2 linked regions of the Bombyx mori genome follow. Each later gene encodes a partner of the first gene's protein in a complex. Links are inferred from orthologs where the notes say so. Each region holds a gene or a part of one and is shown on either strand. Other genes may lie near its edges.

The links. Proteins that work in one complex are often made in the same cells at the same time.
Region 2: the proteins of origin recognition complex subunit 4 (region 1) and ORC5 are in contact, whole or in part, in a cryo-EM structure (PDB 7JPO), measured with the Homo sapiens proteins. The link is inferred for Bombyx mori from reciprocal best matches to the Homo sapiens genes ORC4 and ORC5. Residues at the interface, in NP_001177808.1 of Homo sapiens: Ser18, Gln21, Arg22, Arg25, Glu26, Cys29, Arg30, Gln31, Arg69, Thr74, Asn100, Leu102, Leu103, Gln104, Ile105, Ile109, Glu113, Arg116, Asp162, Arg277, Met281, Met284, Leu285, Asn288, Met311, Asp312, Ser313, Lys314, Asn316, Ile317; in NP_002544.1 of Homo sapiens: Ile17, Ser20, Leu21, Phe22, Gly23, Glu24, His26, His27, Phe28, Ser29, Phe30, Pro31, Tyr36, Gly37, His38, Thr39, Thr98, Phe99, Asn100, Val103, Arg104, Arg131, Glu134, Asn136, Pro139, Gly140, Arg143, Gln145, Glu146, Leu147.

Annotation. Positions count from the first base shown.
Region 1 is NC_085108.1:2,849,358-2,858,331, forward strand, and holds the start of origin recognition complex subunit 4, read right to left. Parts: upstream 4,997-8,974; 5' UTR 4,851-4,996; coding exon 4,641-4,850; intron 3,979-4,640; coding exon 3,853-3,978; intron 3,256-3,852; coding exon 3,033-3,255; intron 2,194-3,032; coding exon 1,969-2,193; intron 1,065-1,968; coding exon 844-1,064; intron 445-843; coding exon 236-444; intron 1-235. Other genes in the region: synaptic vesicle glycoprotein 2C, read left to right, coding at 8,964-8,974. UniProt on the Homo sapiens protein: Component of the origin recognition complex (ORC) that binds origins of replication. DNA-binding is ATP-dependent. The specific DNA sequences that define origins of replication have not been identified yet.
Region 2 is NC_085126.1:11,149,239-11,157,124, forward strand, and holds ORC5 (origin recognition complex subunit 5), read right to left. Parts: upstream 4,591-7,886; 5' UTR 4,519-4,590; coding exon 3,136-4,518; 3' UTR 3,080-3,135; downstream 1-3,079. Other genes in the region: cyclic AMP-regulated protein, read left to right, coding at 2,701-2,830, 4,912-5,028. UniProt on the Homo sapiens protein: Component of the origin recognition complex (ORC) that binds origins of replication. DNA-binding is ATP-dependent. The specific DNA sequences that define origins of replication have not been identified yet.

The DNA.
Region 1 (8,974 bases):
ATATATAAATCTACAGTGGTCTTTACGGATGTTCCGTTATAACTACTGTACCGGGCATCCGATTGACTTGAAACTTGGTACCCATGTTAAAAATACATGTACTTAATGGATAGGCTAATATTTATATGAGTGTTGGACTCCCTACACCAGTTGCGGGGGCGTCAATGATGAGAATCTTTGTGGGGTTGAGAAATAATAATGTTTATTTTAAATGCCCATAAAATAATAACCTAACCTGTGTAGGATCATTTCAAAATTCATTGGTTGCCCGTCGAATATCTCCATCCCGTGCTTCATGGCTATCACCAGAGACAACTCTAGTATAGATAGCGACTGCAACACTTTGACTCTGTGCTCCGGAGCCACTGCGTTGTCTATGGCCGTTGTTAGATCTATGACGTTTATATTCGGTTTCGTCGGAGACAGTTTACTGATTGTTTCAAACTGAAAATTCAATTTACACAATTAATGTCACTGACTGGTGGTTTACTAGTGGTAGGACCTCTTGTGAGTCCGCACGGGTAGGTACCACCACCCTGCCTATTTCGACCGTGAAGCAGTAATGCGTTTCGGTTTGAAGGGTGGGGCAGCCGTTGTAACTATACTGAGACCTTAGAACTCATATCTCAAGGTAGATGGCGGCGTTTACATTGTAGATGTCTATAGGCTCCGGTAACCACTTAACACCAGGTGGGCTGTGAGCTCGTCTACCCATCGAGTTTGTATCAACAAGTTATCCCTGATTGAGGCCGTAGGCCAAGTCATCCTCGTGTTGTTAAAATAATCCTTTGCACTTCCAACAATTAAGTACAGGAAAAAATATACAATAAAGTTCGAACTTACCAAAACATTCCTAAAAGTTTGCTCATCAACGGTATAGTAACATAGCTTCTCTAAAGCGTCAATGACTTTTTCGTTTTCAATCAAACTTCTGATATGGGCATTCCAGTCGCTCACAAAGGCTCGGTCCATCGTAGACAAACATTGCTCGTCGAGTTTCCCTTTTAATATATGTTCTGGTATTGCAAAGACTGTGGATGTGCAGGCCGTTTCATCAGTTTTGGCTGAAAAAATGTTACTAAATTAATTTATTTATCGATACATCAATCATTGGACATCCACTGCTGGATATAGACCTCCTTTAAGGATATTTACATTGCTACAGAATAATTTAAAATATTAAGGAAATCGTATTCTATAAAACAAAAGTGACTAGACCTGTGAAATTTGTTTGTCTCATTCATAAATTCATTCGCTCGTTCATTAATTTTACAGTCGTCGTGGCCTAAAGGATAAGACGTCCGGTGCATTCGTATCGAGCGATGCACCGGTGTTCGAATCCCGCAGGCGGGTACCAATTTTTCTAATGAAATACGTACTCAACAAATGTTCTCGATCGACTTCCACGGTGAAGAGTGAAGGAATAACATCGTGCAATAAAAATTAAAGCCGCAAAATTATAATTTGCGTAATTACTGGTGGTAGGACTCCTTGTGGGTCCGCGCGAGTAGGTAGCACCGCCCTGCCTATTTCTGCCGTGAAGCAGTAATGCGTTTCGGTTTGAAGGGCGGAGCAGCTGTTGTAACTAAACTTGAGACCTTAGAACTTATATCTCAAGGTGGGTGGCGCATTTACATCGTAGATGTATATGGGCTCCAATAACCACTTAACACCAGGAGGGCTCTGAGCTCGTCCACCCAAATAAACAATAAAAAAATAAAAAGTCATTATTAATCATTATTATTATTATTAATTAATTCATCTTTCCTTCTATACAGAAAAAAAAAAACTAGGTATCTAATAACAATGTGTAAGCAAAACTTATTATCTACTTTACAAATATTAGATTTCCGGCCACTGCTTCTCCGGCGACAAAGCATGAGGCGGCATGTGCGGACACGCATTCAATGCAGTGGGATGAAATATAATCTAGTATAGAATATCACGTAAGCAATTATATTAGCTCACCGATGGACTTCCTTGATTTTCTTTTCTTCCTCGGCGACACAGAACCCTCCAGGGGCAGACTCAGCAATTCCACAAACAATCTCTTTCTCCCTTCCAGAGGCGAGATAATATCATACCGGTCATCATCATTGACTTCATTAGGAAATATGAATATGTGACGATGGGAAAAACGGGATTTGACCCTTTTTTCAAACAACTCCATAATGTCTAAGCGATTTGTTACACCTGTGCACAGTAAGGAAGCATGATATTTAATGAAATGAAGATTTAACATCTTCGAGCAAGGATTTCTCCTGTGTTAATGGTAATGGAAAGACACATAGAAACAAGTAGGCATCAAATACCAAATATATTTAAGACTAGCTAGGCATTATTATTATTTCTCACCCCCAGAAAGATTCTCGTCATTAACGCCCCCGCAACTGGTGTAGGAAGTTTTTTTTATTTTTTTTATTTATTGCTTAGATGGGTGGACGAGCTCACAGCCACCTGGTGTTAAGTGGTTACTGGAGCCCATAGACGTCTATAACGTAAATGCGCCACCCACCTTGAGATAAGTTCTAAGGTCTCAGTATAGTTACAACGGCTGCCCCACCCTTCAAACCGAAACGCATTACTGCTTCACGGCAGAAATAGGCAGGGTGGTGGTACCTACCCGTGCGGACTCACAAGAGGTCCTACCACCAGTAAGTCCAACACTCATATAAATATTAGCCTATCCATTAAGTACATGTATTTTCTACATGGATACCAATTTTCATGTCAATCGAACGCATGGTTCAGTAGTTATAATGGAACATCCGTAAAAACCACTGTAGATTTATATATTAGTATAGATGTGTGATAGTATGAAGTGAAGATACATTATTAATTTTAAAACGTGACAAGCAGATTAAGTCGCATTTTAATGCCTATGATGGATAACCTACACAACATGTATTAAAGGATAAGCAAGGACTGTAGCAATGTTAATGCCATCACCACAGTGATGCCAAAGGCCAGTCTCAATCGTATATTATAACATATTCTGAGAAAAACAACAAAAACAATCTCAGCGAACTTACCGATAACACACATAGGAGCCGTCTGTGAATGAGTTACGTCAAATAAGTTATACAGTAATGTCTGGGAGATACCGCTGTGGCAAAACATGTCACACTGGTCTAGAATGAATACCATGCTTCGACATCGTCTGTCAACACCAGTCTGGATGCAGCTTAACAAAAACGAGAGGTTCTCGGCAAAGGTACCGAAAACTCGTTCACCCACAGTATTTTCTAATTGCATCTGTAAAGAATAGTGTAGGTGAGTCCATCTTAGTTGGTGAGGCTTCAATTTAATTCAGATTAGTTAAGCCTGCCTTTAATTATACTGTGGTTAAGACACCAGTAGTCAAGCTTCAAAAGTGGCCAAGGTTTTGCCATTGTGTTGTCCCCCTACCAAGACCTTGGCTACAGATTTTTTTCTCATATCCAATGCATTAGTGAAGAGTCAACCACCATGTTTATCATATTATTACAGTCTAGTCCAGTGTTTCCCAACCTTTTTTGTGCCATGCCCCACTGTAACATTTTTAAATTTTTTATGCCCCCCATACATAATTTTAGCATAATAAAATAATTTCAATACAATTTTCTTTATTGATTTAATGCAATTGCCCTTCTTAATTATCAAATTGCCAACTTGTAGGCTATGGGCACCACGTTGGGAAACACTGGTCTAGTCTATTACACACAATGGTCTTTAGTTAAGTACAATTCACTATCCTATTCAGAACAAAATATAATAGAAAAACCTTTCCTGCTATACAGGAATACAATTGAACAAACATTAATAGAATTCTTTTTGACATTTTTATTAGATTCATAAAAAGGCCTCAATCACCTGCGCTGTGATAGCTTTAAGGGCCAGTTTATCATCACTATGTACAAGGCCATTCAGTTGAATTATAATAGCATCATTCTCCAAATCTGTCTCTCTAGAGAGCTGGTGAAGTACCGAGTTTAGTAGCTGAAATGAAATGTTTTACCATTATTGAAAGGTCACAACAGATAACATTTTCTGTACAGAGGCCCTTGCTTCACCTTATATTAAATTGTAACTAGAAAGTGAGAGAGAGAGAATATACTTTATATGCACACCAAAACACAATTAACAATAGAAAACAGTCAACAAGCAGATCCATTTGTACAAATCTTATCATCTCATCATCAAGAGATCTCTTCCAGACAGCCACTTAACTATACAGAAATTCTGGAAAAGATAAAGATATAGCAGGTATGTTGCTATGTACTACTAGCAATACATTATTAAAGAAAATATAAAGAAAATAATAAAAGTGATGGGATCTGAACAAAAATATCATTCATGGGTCAGGTAGAATTCAGAATTGTATTGTTTGACAATCATCCTAGCTTCCACGCTGGAATGCACTGCTACTTCATAAAAAATAGGCAGAATCCAACATACCTACCCAAATAGACTGACAGTAAACCATACCACTCTTAAATCTTGCTGCATTATATATACCTATCTATCACATATGTATCTGTCACATGAAGAGCTGAGAGCGGCCACAATCACCTATATTGTGCTAAGCTGGTGGACATAAAACAATTTAAAAATATTGTAAATTAAATCCGCGAATTGTATATTGAAGCACAAGAACTTACAGTGGTTTTTCCACTACTTCTCGGCCCTATAAGTAAAGCCGAATGCGATTCTCCTTGTAAGACAGTTCTTCTTAATAATTCGTACACATGATTTCTTTCCTGGTCGTGCCCCCGAAACAATACATTGTCTTCTATTAATTTCAATTTTATGTACTTCCTTACAAGTTTTATTTGAATAGCCAACGGGTCTGTATCCATTGATCCACGCATTTTCTCAGACAATGTTATTTATGATTATTTTGTGAAGTGTTTTAGCTTTATACATCGAAGCATAAAATTATTTAATAAATATTTAAAATGAGTTCAAAAAGAAATTTTCGCGGCATAAAATGTCATCCCAAGAAACATCAAACAGCATGACAGTTGACACTGTCAATTAGAGATGTCCTTCAATAATCACCATAGATTATACACTTAATATATTTGAGATTACTGATTGTTCACCATAGTCTACTAAGTATTACGGAGGTAAAGATATTTCTACCCTCCATACTAAGTATGTCAACTACACATTTTGAGATTAAATCGTATTCACCCGTTTTGTCTACTTTGCTCCTAGTTTATAAATGTGCATAAAGCTGAGTTTACAAGTAAATATGGCTTTTATGATGTATCGAAAAGAAACTTTGAAAATAAATTGGCATGTTTCGTTCTGTTTAAATAAAATAGATAATAGCGTCAATTTTAAGTCTTGTACGTTGCAAGTACTCAGTGACTCTTTTAAATGAAAGAAAAGTGTTTGTAACTCAGGAGTATGCACGTTAATTTTTAAAGTAGATGATACTTCTTAAAATGTCTATGGCATGAAAGTAAAAGAGCGCATGCTCGTGAAATCTAATCAATAGACTAAATGAAACATATGATAACAAGAAAATCGAGATATAGCTCCGAATTTCTTCTAACAAATAGTTACATTTTTAGTTCACACCCTTAAGAATTAAAAACTTATAACGTGAAATATTTATTGAACTTAAGTATTTAAGCACTTTATAGTAGTTACAAGTATTCTTCATATGAATATAGGAGAACGTGTGAACTTGAACCGATCAAAGAAATATTTGTATTCATATCCCTGGATTTAATTCTCGTGTACATTGCCTAAAACTTCGTATTGTCCCGTTCTCGCATTTTGACGATTTCTAAAAATAAATCTTTAGTCCTCGTCATGACCTTAAATTCCACGGTTTTTGTGTACCCGTTCATATTATTGAAAATTGGGACAATCTGGAAATTAATTCAATTTGTTTCTTAAGAAGTTGATCGTAAAAAATTATACTTAAAAAGTGAACAAACCAAAGTTTTTCAAAATTTTATTTCGTATTCGTTCGTTTATTAACTATAAAAATTGCACCGTGGATTGTAGCTGAACACCCAACCATTTATGGAAAAAAGTGAAAATATTTTCGAAAAACAATGTGAATATCAGAATTATAGATGCAGCGTCGTGCGTTTTCCGAAATGAGAGTTTTTAATTAGTGCAGCAGGTTTCAACCACTTAAATTCATTTAGCAAATTCGCACAAGACACGAGCCCTAAATAATCACAATGTAATTTGTATTATAAATTATTATGTTATAGTGCAGCAGCAATTTGGCACAGCTTTGAATTTTATAAAAAAAGAAGTACCTAAATAGAGGAAGTCAATATTGCTTTAAGCTTAAAAATTGTAAGTTATAGTATTTAAGCTTAACGCCAGAATCATTAATATGATTACATTTTCATCATAGCACCAAAATATGCACAAAGTTTACCTTCAGACATGAATTCTCATACCCGCATTCATTCAAGGCCACTATTCAAAGTCAATGCCGCAATTTCACAGCAAACCGGTGTTTAGTGAATCGATACGTTACTCTTTTAGCTTAATATAAATTGATGTCTCACTCAGATCAGTAAGTGAAATAGTATTATATTATTAGGAAATTTAGCTATTGGACAACACTATCGATCCAAACTTAGAAAATATTTTGAAGATGGTTTGAGGCACGCAATGAACAGATTATTTGTGTATCTACCTGTTCAGAGATAGTTTTTTGATTTAACTGACAATATCTTTTTCTTTGTCTTTCTTGATGTTTATTCATAGATGATCCAACAGACACAAAATAAGTGTCATTTGTATAGATTTTATTCACAAAGAACTTGAGTTTAGAGAGCCTTATCACGATGGTCTTTTAAAAATAGTTTTACAAAAGTGTTTGTTGATCGATTGTATTAGACTAAAAGATTTGAAACTTAGAGACACAGATCACTGCTTTGTCGTGTGTGCCGATTTTCAAGCTCCTGTACTAATTAATTATTCAGCCAGGATATTTTCAGTTTTCTATTTCAAAGTAAGTATAGCAGATAGGTGGCGTATTATTTCAATTTTCATTATGTTGTAAGATTACAACACCGTTGTTAAGCATAGCATTGGCAGGTCTGAATTGTTTACAACAGTTTGTTTTCAAAATAAACTTGTTTGGGACCACAAACATTGATAACAAACAGCCATAAGATACAATGTAAAACAAAATAATATTAAATTATAAAAGTTTATGTTGCAGTCGAGACTATGTTATGTGCAGATTAATTAAAATTATGAATCATCCACAAGCCAATAACGCATTGTTCCATTTAATTTACAGGCAAGTATGTAGGCTAGAATATTAACTTTTATATTTTGTAAGTCCTGTTTTATGCATTGTATTATGACTGTTTGTTTTCCATGCATAAAAGTCCACACACAACATTCTTACTATTGTGATACATATGAGACTAATAAATAAAACTAACAATTTATGGATTCACTACACAGGTCCATTGTGTTATTGAGAGAGGAGGTTGAGAATGACACTGGATTTGTGACCCTAGCGTAAATTTAAGGAGCCCCTATCTATGTTCATTATACTTATCTTCATTCTCCCCATTCTCTCCCTGCCTAGCCATATTTGGTAGGAAACTATTAGTCTGGCTTTAGATGTTTAAACAAGTCTAGAATTTATGGAGTTTTGTTTTTTGAGAGCCAAGATTTTAGTGAGAGACTTCACTGGTATATCTCTTTACTTCACCAGCATATAACATACCAGCTATCCATATTTGATCAGCCCATTCCTGGGATCATAGTATAAGTTTGTTTGTTTGTGTGGTCTTAAGTCTGGAATGACCTTTAAATGAGTCGACTATTATCAAAGCCGGCAATCTGACTTTTGGACAATGATTGGTAAATCAGAAAAACGAATTATTGACTTTGTATTCCATTGGCAGTCACAAAACTCTTCGGAACGACATCTTAGATAAATAACAGGTTAACTATTAACCTTTATTTAATGCAGGTTTTGAACCGTATTCTTTGAAGGAGACGATTATATTCAAATCAATCTGTATTGACATATCAATAATTTTTTTTGTCCAAATGCACAGATTGCCACCTTTGATAATAGACGACTTTTGAGTGTAAAAAATTGTTAATTGTTTATACATCAGTGTAAATAATTATCTATTAAAATAAAGTAAATAATGTAAACCAACAAGTTTAGAACACATGGGCCTCGTCTTCTAGTTATTATTTGTAGTTTAGCTCTTACGACTCGACTACTGGCAAATTTTATTTCCAGGTTTTTTTTATTTGTATATTTTACTTTCTATGCTATGCTGTGTTTGTGCAGTCACTATCGATCCTTGTTGAAAACCATCCTTATGTTGAGTTGTTCTTAGGTTTATAGTATTTTCTTTTCTTTTATCACGGATAAAGTTTTGTCTTTTGTCAACATATGAATGCCTGTTAATGTAATCATCATCATCATCAGCCTTTATCTGCCCACTGCTGGACATAGGCCTTCCCCAATGCCTTCCACATAATGCGGTCCTCCGCCTTCCGCATCCAACTTATATTGTAATATAAATATTATTTTCCCACATAAAATAGTTCTATAGTTATAACTATTAGTGAGTAAATTGGATTATCTTAATTTTAATAACAATAATTCCGATTCTGAGTACAGCGGAAAGCTAAAGAGAAAAATGATGACTTCCGATTATTATTATTCATGTATTCATCTACATCATCATTGTGTATTTGTATGTATATTTATATTTATATTATGTGTGTATATGTATATACATATATATTGCAATTTATTGGTGTCTGCAAGAGATCGCTCTTAGTGATAAGACCGCCAATTGTACTTATTTTTTTGTATTTAATTGTTCCCATTGTTTCTTTTGTTGGTGTACAATAAAGAATACTCTCTCTCTCTCTCTTTCTTTCTTTCTCTCTTTCTAACTTTAATTATTTTCTATAGATGAGTCTTCTACCTGAAATTGACACGGCGATTAGTCACAATGGAAGAGGA
Region 2 (7,886 bases), on another chromosome or scaffold:
ACCGTCTTAAAGACGTGGTGCTCCAGGGGATGGAATTGTTTGTTCCCTCTTCTGAAGTGCCCGTTGGGGGTCGCAGCAGACCCTGGTATAACAATGCCAGCAGGGATGCTGCACACCTCAAGCGGTCCGCATACGTGGCATGGGATGATGCCAGGAGGCGTCGGGATCCTAACATCTCAGAGGAAAGGCGGAAATATAACGCCGCCTCCAGGTCCTACAAGAAGGTAATTGCCAAGGCGAAGTCGGAGCACGTTGCTAGAGTTGGCGAGCGACTAAAGAGCTATCCCTCTGGGAGCCGTGCTTTTTGGTCGCTCGCCAAAGCTGCAGAAGGAAACTTTTGCAGGTCTAGTCTCCCACCACTGCGCAAGTCCGATGACACTCTGGCCCACAGCGCGAAAGAGAAGGCTGACCTTCTGGTCAAACTCTTCGCCTCGAACTCGACTGTGGACGACGGGGGTGCCACACCACCGAACATCCCCCGGTGTGATAGCTCCCTGCCGGATATCTGCTTCACACAGTGTGCAGTCAGGCGGGAGCTCCGACTCCTGGACGTCCATAAGTCGAGTGGGCCAGACGGCATCCCCGCAGTGGTTCTGAAAAAGTGCGCCCCTGAGCTGACGCCTGCGCTAACGCGTTTGTATCGCCTCTCTTATTGCACTAACAGGGTTCCGTCTTCATGGAAGACCGCCCACGTCCACCCTATCCCCAAGAAGGGTGACCGGTCGGACCCATCGAGCTATAGGCCTATCGCGATAACTTCCTTGCTTTCCAAGGTGATGGAGCGAATAATAAACACACAACTCCTGAAGTATCTTGAAGATCGCCAGCTGATCAGTGACCGACAGTACGGTTTCCGTCACGGTCGTTCAGCTGGCGATCTTCTTGTATACCTTACTCACAGGTGGGCTGAAGCCTTGGAGAGCAAGGGCGAGGCTCTTGCTGTGAGCCTTGATATCGCGAAGGCCTTCGACAGGGTCTGGCATAAGGCGCTTCTGTCGAAGCTTCCATCTTACGGAATCCCCGAGGGTCTCTGCAAGTGGATCGCTAGCTTTCTGGATGGGCGGAGCATCACGGTCGTTGTGGACGGTGATTGTTCTGATACCATGACCATTAATGCTGGCGTTCCACAAGGTTCGGTGCTCTCCCCCACGCTTTTCATCCTGTATATCAATGACATGCTGTCTATTGATGGCATGCATTGCTATGCGGATGACAGCACGGGGGATGCGCGATATATCGGCCATCAGAGTCTTTCTCGGAGCGTGGTGCAAGAGAGACGATCAAAACTTGTGTCTGAAGTGGAGAACTCTCTGGGGCGAGTCTCCGAGTGGGGTGAATCGAACTTAGTTCAATTCAACCCGTTGAAGACACAAGTTTGCGCGTTCACTGCGAAGAAGGACCCCTTTGTCATGGCGCCGCAATTCCAAGGAGTATCCCTGCAACCTTCCGCGAGCATCGGGATACTTGGGGTCGACATTTCGAGTGATGTCCAATTTCGGAGTCATTTGGAAGGCAAAGCCAAGTTGGCGTCCAAAATGCTGGGAGTCCTCAACAGAGCGAAGCGGTATTTCACGCCTGGACAAAGACTTTTGCTTTATAAAGCACAAGTCCGGCCTCGCGTGGAGTACTGTTCCCATCTCTGGGCCGGGGCTCCCAAATACCAGCTTCTTCCATTTGACTCCATACAGAGGAGGGCCGTTCGAATCGTCGATAATCCCATTCTCGCGGATCGTTTGGAACCTTTGGGTCTGCGGAGGGACTTCGGTTCCCTCTGTAGTTTGTACCGAATGTTCCATGGGGAGTGCTCTGAGGAATTGTTCGAGATGATACCGGCATCTCGTTTTTACCATCGCACCGCCCGCCACCGGAGTAGAGTTCATCCATACTACCTGGAGCCACTGCGGTCATCGACAGTGCGTTTCCAGAGGTCTTTTCTGCCACGTACCATCCGGCTATGGAATGAGCTCCCCTCCACGGTGTTTCCCGAGCGCTATGACATGTCCTTCTTTAAAAGAGGCTTGTGGAGAGTATTAAGCGATAGGCAGCGGCTTGGCTCTGCCCCTGGCATTGCTGAAGTCCATGGGCGACGGTAACCACTCACCATCAGGTGGGCCGTATGCTCGTCTGCCTACAAGGGCAATAAAAAAAAAAAAAAAAAAAATTCTCAAACCTCCAACAAACTTTCACGACCAGATGAATAATACCAGGGACACATGCGACACATCTACCACCCAACCCCAAGCTGGGATTCTTTTTTTGAGGGATTACTGGTGGCCCGGAGGCCTTTCCAGTTTCACCAGGACAGGTGGGCGAGCACGCGCTCAGCCAAGAGGGGTGGGATTTACTAACAGCTACCCGAGCGCCTCCAAAGGAGACCTAACCACTCGACAGTAGCTGCTTCGTGAATGAATTTTTGTATTTTTAAGTTATTTAAATTTTTTTGTGGGTAATTTCTTTCTGAATTCCTTAGCTTTTTTTGAAAAATATGTAAAATTAAGCTCAGCACCAAAGTGATTATTAATAATGATTGAGGCGCCGAGTGATCGGAAACTATAAATAATTGGAGACGTGGTTAATAAGAAATACAAAAACCGCGTGATAAATCGGTAAAAAGAGTTCTAATTAAGTCTTGGCTCGCGTAGTCCAACAGATGTGTGTTGCATTACACATATTTGTTTTAATAAATTTTTTGGACTGAAGGTTGCAGATGGGAGACGAGATGTCTAAACGCAAGAAATTTATGTTCATGACGTGGGTAGGACCGAACGTGTCTGTGATCAACCGAGCCAAGATGTCCACCGACAAAGCTATCATCAAGGACATCATATCGGTTCGTATAAGCCCATTTTATTTTTGGATAAGTTCTTCCCCCGCGTGCTTACAGCTTCTTTTTGTTCAATCCTAAACATCTCCCTAAATTAATCACGAAATTGAAAAAAAAATTATCAAAAAAATTGTTCCGAATTGCAGGATGTGCCAGCTATTTTAATAATACGGATTGGACTTTGACCTCATTTTTCAAATTGGTTGGAACCATGGACCATGAGCTCATTTACCCATATAAGTACTAAAAATCAAATTGTTTCAGAAAAATGTTTATTAGAGAAATATGTATCGCAACTTGACAGCAATACATCAAATAAAATCATACAAATATTTTCTAATGTTAAAACCGACAGTCTGAGCAATGGCTGAAATGAAATCATAGCCAACAATACATTTATATTTTGCTGTATCTAAATCTATCTCTTTGCTTCCCGCTATCAATTTTAGCTCAACTAATGTCGCTATTTGTGCCAACAGATTGCTGGTTAAACCGATCTTATCTTCTAAGATAGCATAGAATATTGCCAACAATCGATCTAAAGTAAAAACTTTAGGACCGAGCTGTGTACTTAATTTTTCATTAATTTTAGCCTTTGCTTTGATTTGTCTCATTTGTTTACGTTGTTTCCCGTGGTTCTTCATAAACAATCTCTTGTCTTCTTTGGGCGGATTGTAGCTAGCCAAATATGCTGCAATTAGTAAGTATTTCGCAAAGTATGGTAGTTCGAAGCTTTGTGCAAATGTTTTTGTAGAAGAAAGTTCATCTTTTAACGTTTTCTCCAGACAGAATTCTTTGGCATATAAGCTTTCACTGTTTTCTTTACCCGGTGAAGGTTTGAATTGCCTCATATCACTAATTCTTAAGTATAAAAGTTCTAGGCTTGTTTTCAAGATTGGTGAGATGTGTCTCCACAATTTAGTTAGATCATTTGATTGTATTTCACCTTTTATGATTGGTTCACAGTATTTGATGAAGTTTAGGCGTGCCATATGCTTTAATTCAATAAGGTCTCGACATGGCCTATAGAATACACTCAAGAATGCATTCAAGAAGTTTGCAAATAACTCTGGTTTTTCAATTAGTTCTGTTGTTTCATCTTCTATGTCAAAATGGTTCAGCAAATGCTGTACAAATGATTTTTGGTAGAGAAATATTATCCTGAATAACTCTTCTTTGTTATAGTTAGGGAAGTAGAGTTTTATGGGCTCTCGTACACCGAATTTGAAATTAAAATTTTCGAATATCAAATGCGTCACCAATATCGTGCAGATGTTCAATTTACAAAATTCTCTAAGCTTTAGTAGCACTGGCAAGAGGTTCTGATCCATGTTGCGTAGTCTCTCGACTCTATCGAATACAATTACTATTGGTTCATAATTATTTTGAAGCCGGTTCAAACAGTTTATAAAATCCATGAAATTTTCACATTTCACGTCCTCGTCTTCATCGTTGAGGGCAGACAATATGTTCTCGAACATTATCTTTGACGAATAACACTCGATACAGTCGACAAATACATGTTTATAACTTAAATAATTGAGAACAGTTTGTAAGCATAACGTTTTGCCGGTTGCCATACTTCCACTTATAAAAATAGAACACGGCAATGGTTCGTTGTCATCTCCGAATAAATTGAACAAATCGTTTAACTGATTCTCTCTGCACACAACTTTACTGTATATTTCATCCATTTTAATATAATTTATTTTATTTACGTAAGCTTTTGTGTTAATTCAATTCTATAACGTATGTTCAGGTTTGACATTTTTGCGCACATTCCAATTTTGACAACTTTGAACTTTGTAAATTTCATTTGATAGTCTGTGCTTCAAATAAAGTGCCGGCTTAGTACGACGAATATTGAGAATCAAAAAAGATACCTACTTTAATTCGTTTTATTCGTAATTCATTTGGATTTAAAATTAATTATTAGAACCTTGTTTTATTAATATTTTATTATTATCAGACAGATATTGACAGACACAAATATATAAAAAAATAATTTGAAATTAGGAAGGTCTAGTTTCACTCACCTTTCAATTTCAATGCTAGTTCTCAATTAACTAGTTTTTATTATGTTTCAGAACTTTGCTGTGGAGTTGCAACTTGAAAATCAGTCTGAGATAGACATCGACCAATTCAAGGATGCACTCAATAGGGCAGGGGGAGCGAACTACGGCACTGGCGTTAGAGATTTATGAATAGAAAATGTTTGCCCCGCACTTGCCACATGGAATTTTAAACGAATATTGTCTCTTTCATTCTATTATATAAATAATGAGTGCAAAGATACAATATTATACATAAAAATATTTTACAAGTGGATTTTAGGACTTATATTTTAATTGGGGCCGTGGCTTGGCCATTTTTGTAGTCGAGCAATAATTCATTAGTCATTTTTATTATCTTGTGTCAAATTGATCACATTTTTAATCACGTATAGAAATTCATTATTTATTTTTCAAAAATACACATGTTATATAATATTCTTCAGTGTAGTTTTAATAAGGATTTACCAAATAAAAAGTAGATAATCTGTCGTGCATTTTAGTAAGCGCGGTGAACGCATTTATTTTTTACTTAAAATTTTTAAAAATCTTTAATACTAAATTGAATTTAATGTAAACAAGCTTTTTATACATTGACTAGTAATGTAAATTGATATCAATAAAACCATGATTTCCAATATATTTTTTGTTTCATTCCGGTGTGTCAGAAACTTTGAGTGTCGGCGTTTTCGTTTGCTTGCGATGTTTTTCAAATTATTGAAGACTAACGGAATGTTACTTTGGTAATAAATATTTCTACCAGAAGAGGAATCTGTTAAATACCCATCCATTTTCGTAGATTCAACTCATGTTCGCAAAGTCAGTATTTTCAACGACCATCATCATTTCACTAGGAAGTTTATAAGATATTTGAGGCGGTCAGCGCAAAAGTGCCTTAACCCACAATTCATATTCGTCTTTATGTATTGCAATTTATTTAATACATAATAAATTTTGATGCAAAATCGCCCAAGTTTCACACAGATAACAGATGCCTTTGTAAACATTATTTTTGGACGTATTTTTTGGCTGGCGAAGTATTGTAAAGATAAATTCAAATCTCAATATCTCCATAATAACTATGGTAAGCTTAGACCACTTTTGCGCTGACGGACCTCATTTATACTATACATTAACAGTAAGATATTTGCCGATGATAAGTACCTCTCAGCGGATCTACGCGTATCCTAGGTCATATCATACGGAATAAAACAACAATGGCTACCCAAATATTAAGTTTTTTATTTTGCAAAAAAAAAAGAATAAAATGTTAGAATAGTGATCGGTAATACCACATAGTTCCTTAATAAAAATATAAGGTGACACTGCGACTTGGTTCTGATGGAACACATTTATTTACTTATTACTAAAAAAAAAAATCTGCCTTTTAATTTGGCTACTAAATATATTCATGGTCTTTAATTGAAAAACAACAGATTTTTTATTTAATTCATCACATTAAGGCAATGAATCAGCAAGTGAATTATTTTTCAGATTTGAACAACAAATGAGTCGTCTATTATCAAAGGTGGCAATCTGTGCATTTGAACAAGAAAATGTTATTGATATGTCAATACAGATTGATTTGAATATAATCGTCTCCTTCAAAGAATACGGTTCAAAACCTGCATTAAATAAAGGTTAATACTTAACCTGTTATTTATCTAAGATCTCGTTCAGAAGAGTTTTGTGGCTGCCAATGGAATACAAAGTCAATAATTCGTTTTTCTGATTTACCAATAATTGTCCAAAAGTCACATTGCCGGCTTTGATAATAGTCGACTCAAATAGTTGAAGGATACACAAAACCCTGTATTCTAGATAAGCATTAAAATACTTCCCACGCTATTTTCACTTACAAATACATTAATATAGTACAACATTACATTTTGTATAAGTTGAACGAGATGGTAACAATTTTACAAACAACAGTTTTATTGTACATTAATTAAATTACTTAATATTGCTTATTCGTTTTATTTTAAGGCGCTTTTTCAATGCGGATCAAATGCATACAAAAATTATTAATGTTAAAATATTATCACCCCACATCGCTCATTTTGGAAGGTCGTTTAGAACAAAATTATGTTTGTACCTAAATAAATATAATGGATAATAATTATAAAAAAATAATAAAAAAAATCTGATTTTTGTTTAGTACTCTCTATTTTCTTAAGAAGCTCGTTGGTTCGCGTTGCTGGCAGCGACACTTCGCTACAGACCTTTTTTTTTTTATATTTACAGTAATTCCCCCTATTACACGGTAGATTGGTTCCGCGTTATAGGAAACGCGTTGTAGTATTCACAAAAAACGCTTTTGTATGACCCCATATAACGCGTTATATACAAAAAATATATATGTACATATATAATACAATAATGCCAATGTTTTTACAATTCAAAAACTAGGAACAAAAATTGAATAAATTAATTTAATTTATTTTTATAACAACACAATTGACACAATGTGCAAAGGTACGCCAAATTCATTATGAACTGTACAGATATTAAATTTCACAGTACAGAAATATAACGTTACAAATCCCAGCGTTATATGGGGGAATGCCCGTGTTATACTAGGGACTGAAATCGCGTTATATGAAAATACATTATAAGGGTACCGTGTTATAAGGGGCATTACTGTATATCTATGCGCTATATCGCTGTGTCATACAAAAAATCATACCGATGCTAAATTGAGGGTACGAACTGGTTTCAACGTCGCTATGGAACTCGGGCTGTGGTGAGCTCCGGTGATCACTGGTGATCACTTAACGCCAGTTGGGCCGTTACCTTGAGGCATGAGGTCTTCCAGCCCGGAAGGCATGCCAGCTTCCCGACCGATATGTGTCAGGTCGGGCCTCCCTACTACCGGCTACTGACATAGTCAATAACATGAACCAATGAACATTTTGACTGACTTAAAACAATATTATCAAAATCGATGCTGTACATTGCGTGCTGATTGAGCCCTTTGAAACTTCGGGTTATAATCAGAGCGGCCGTGTACG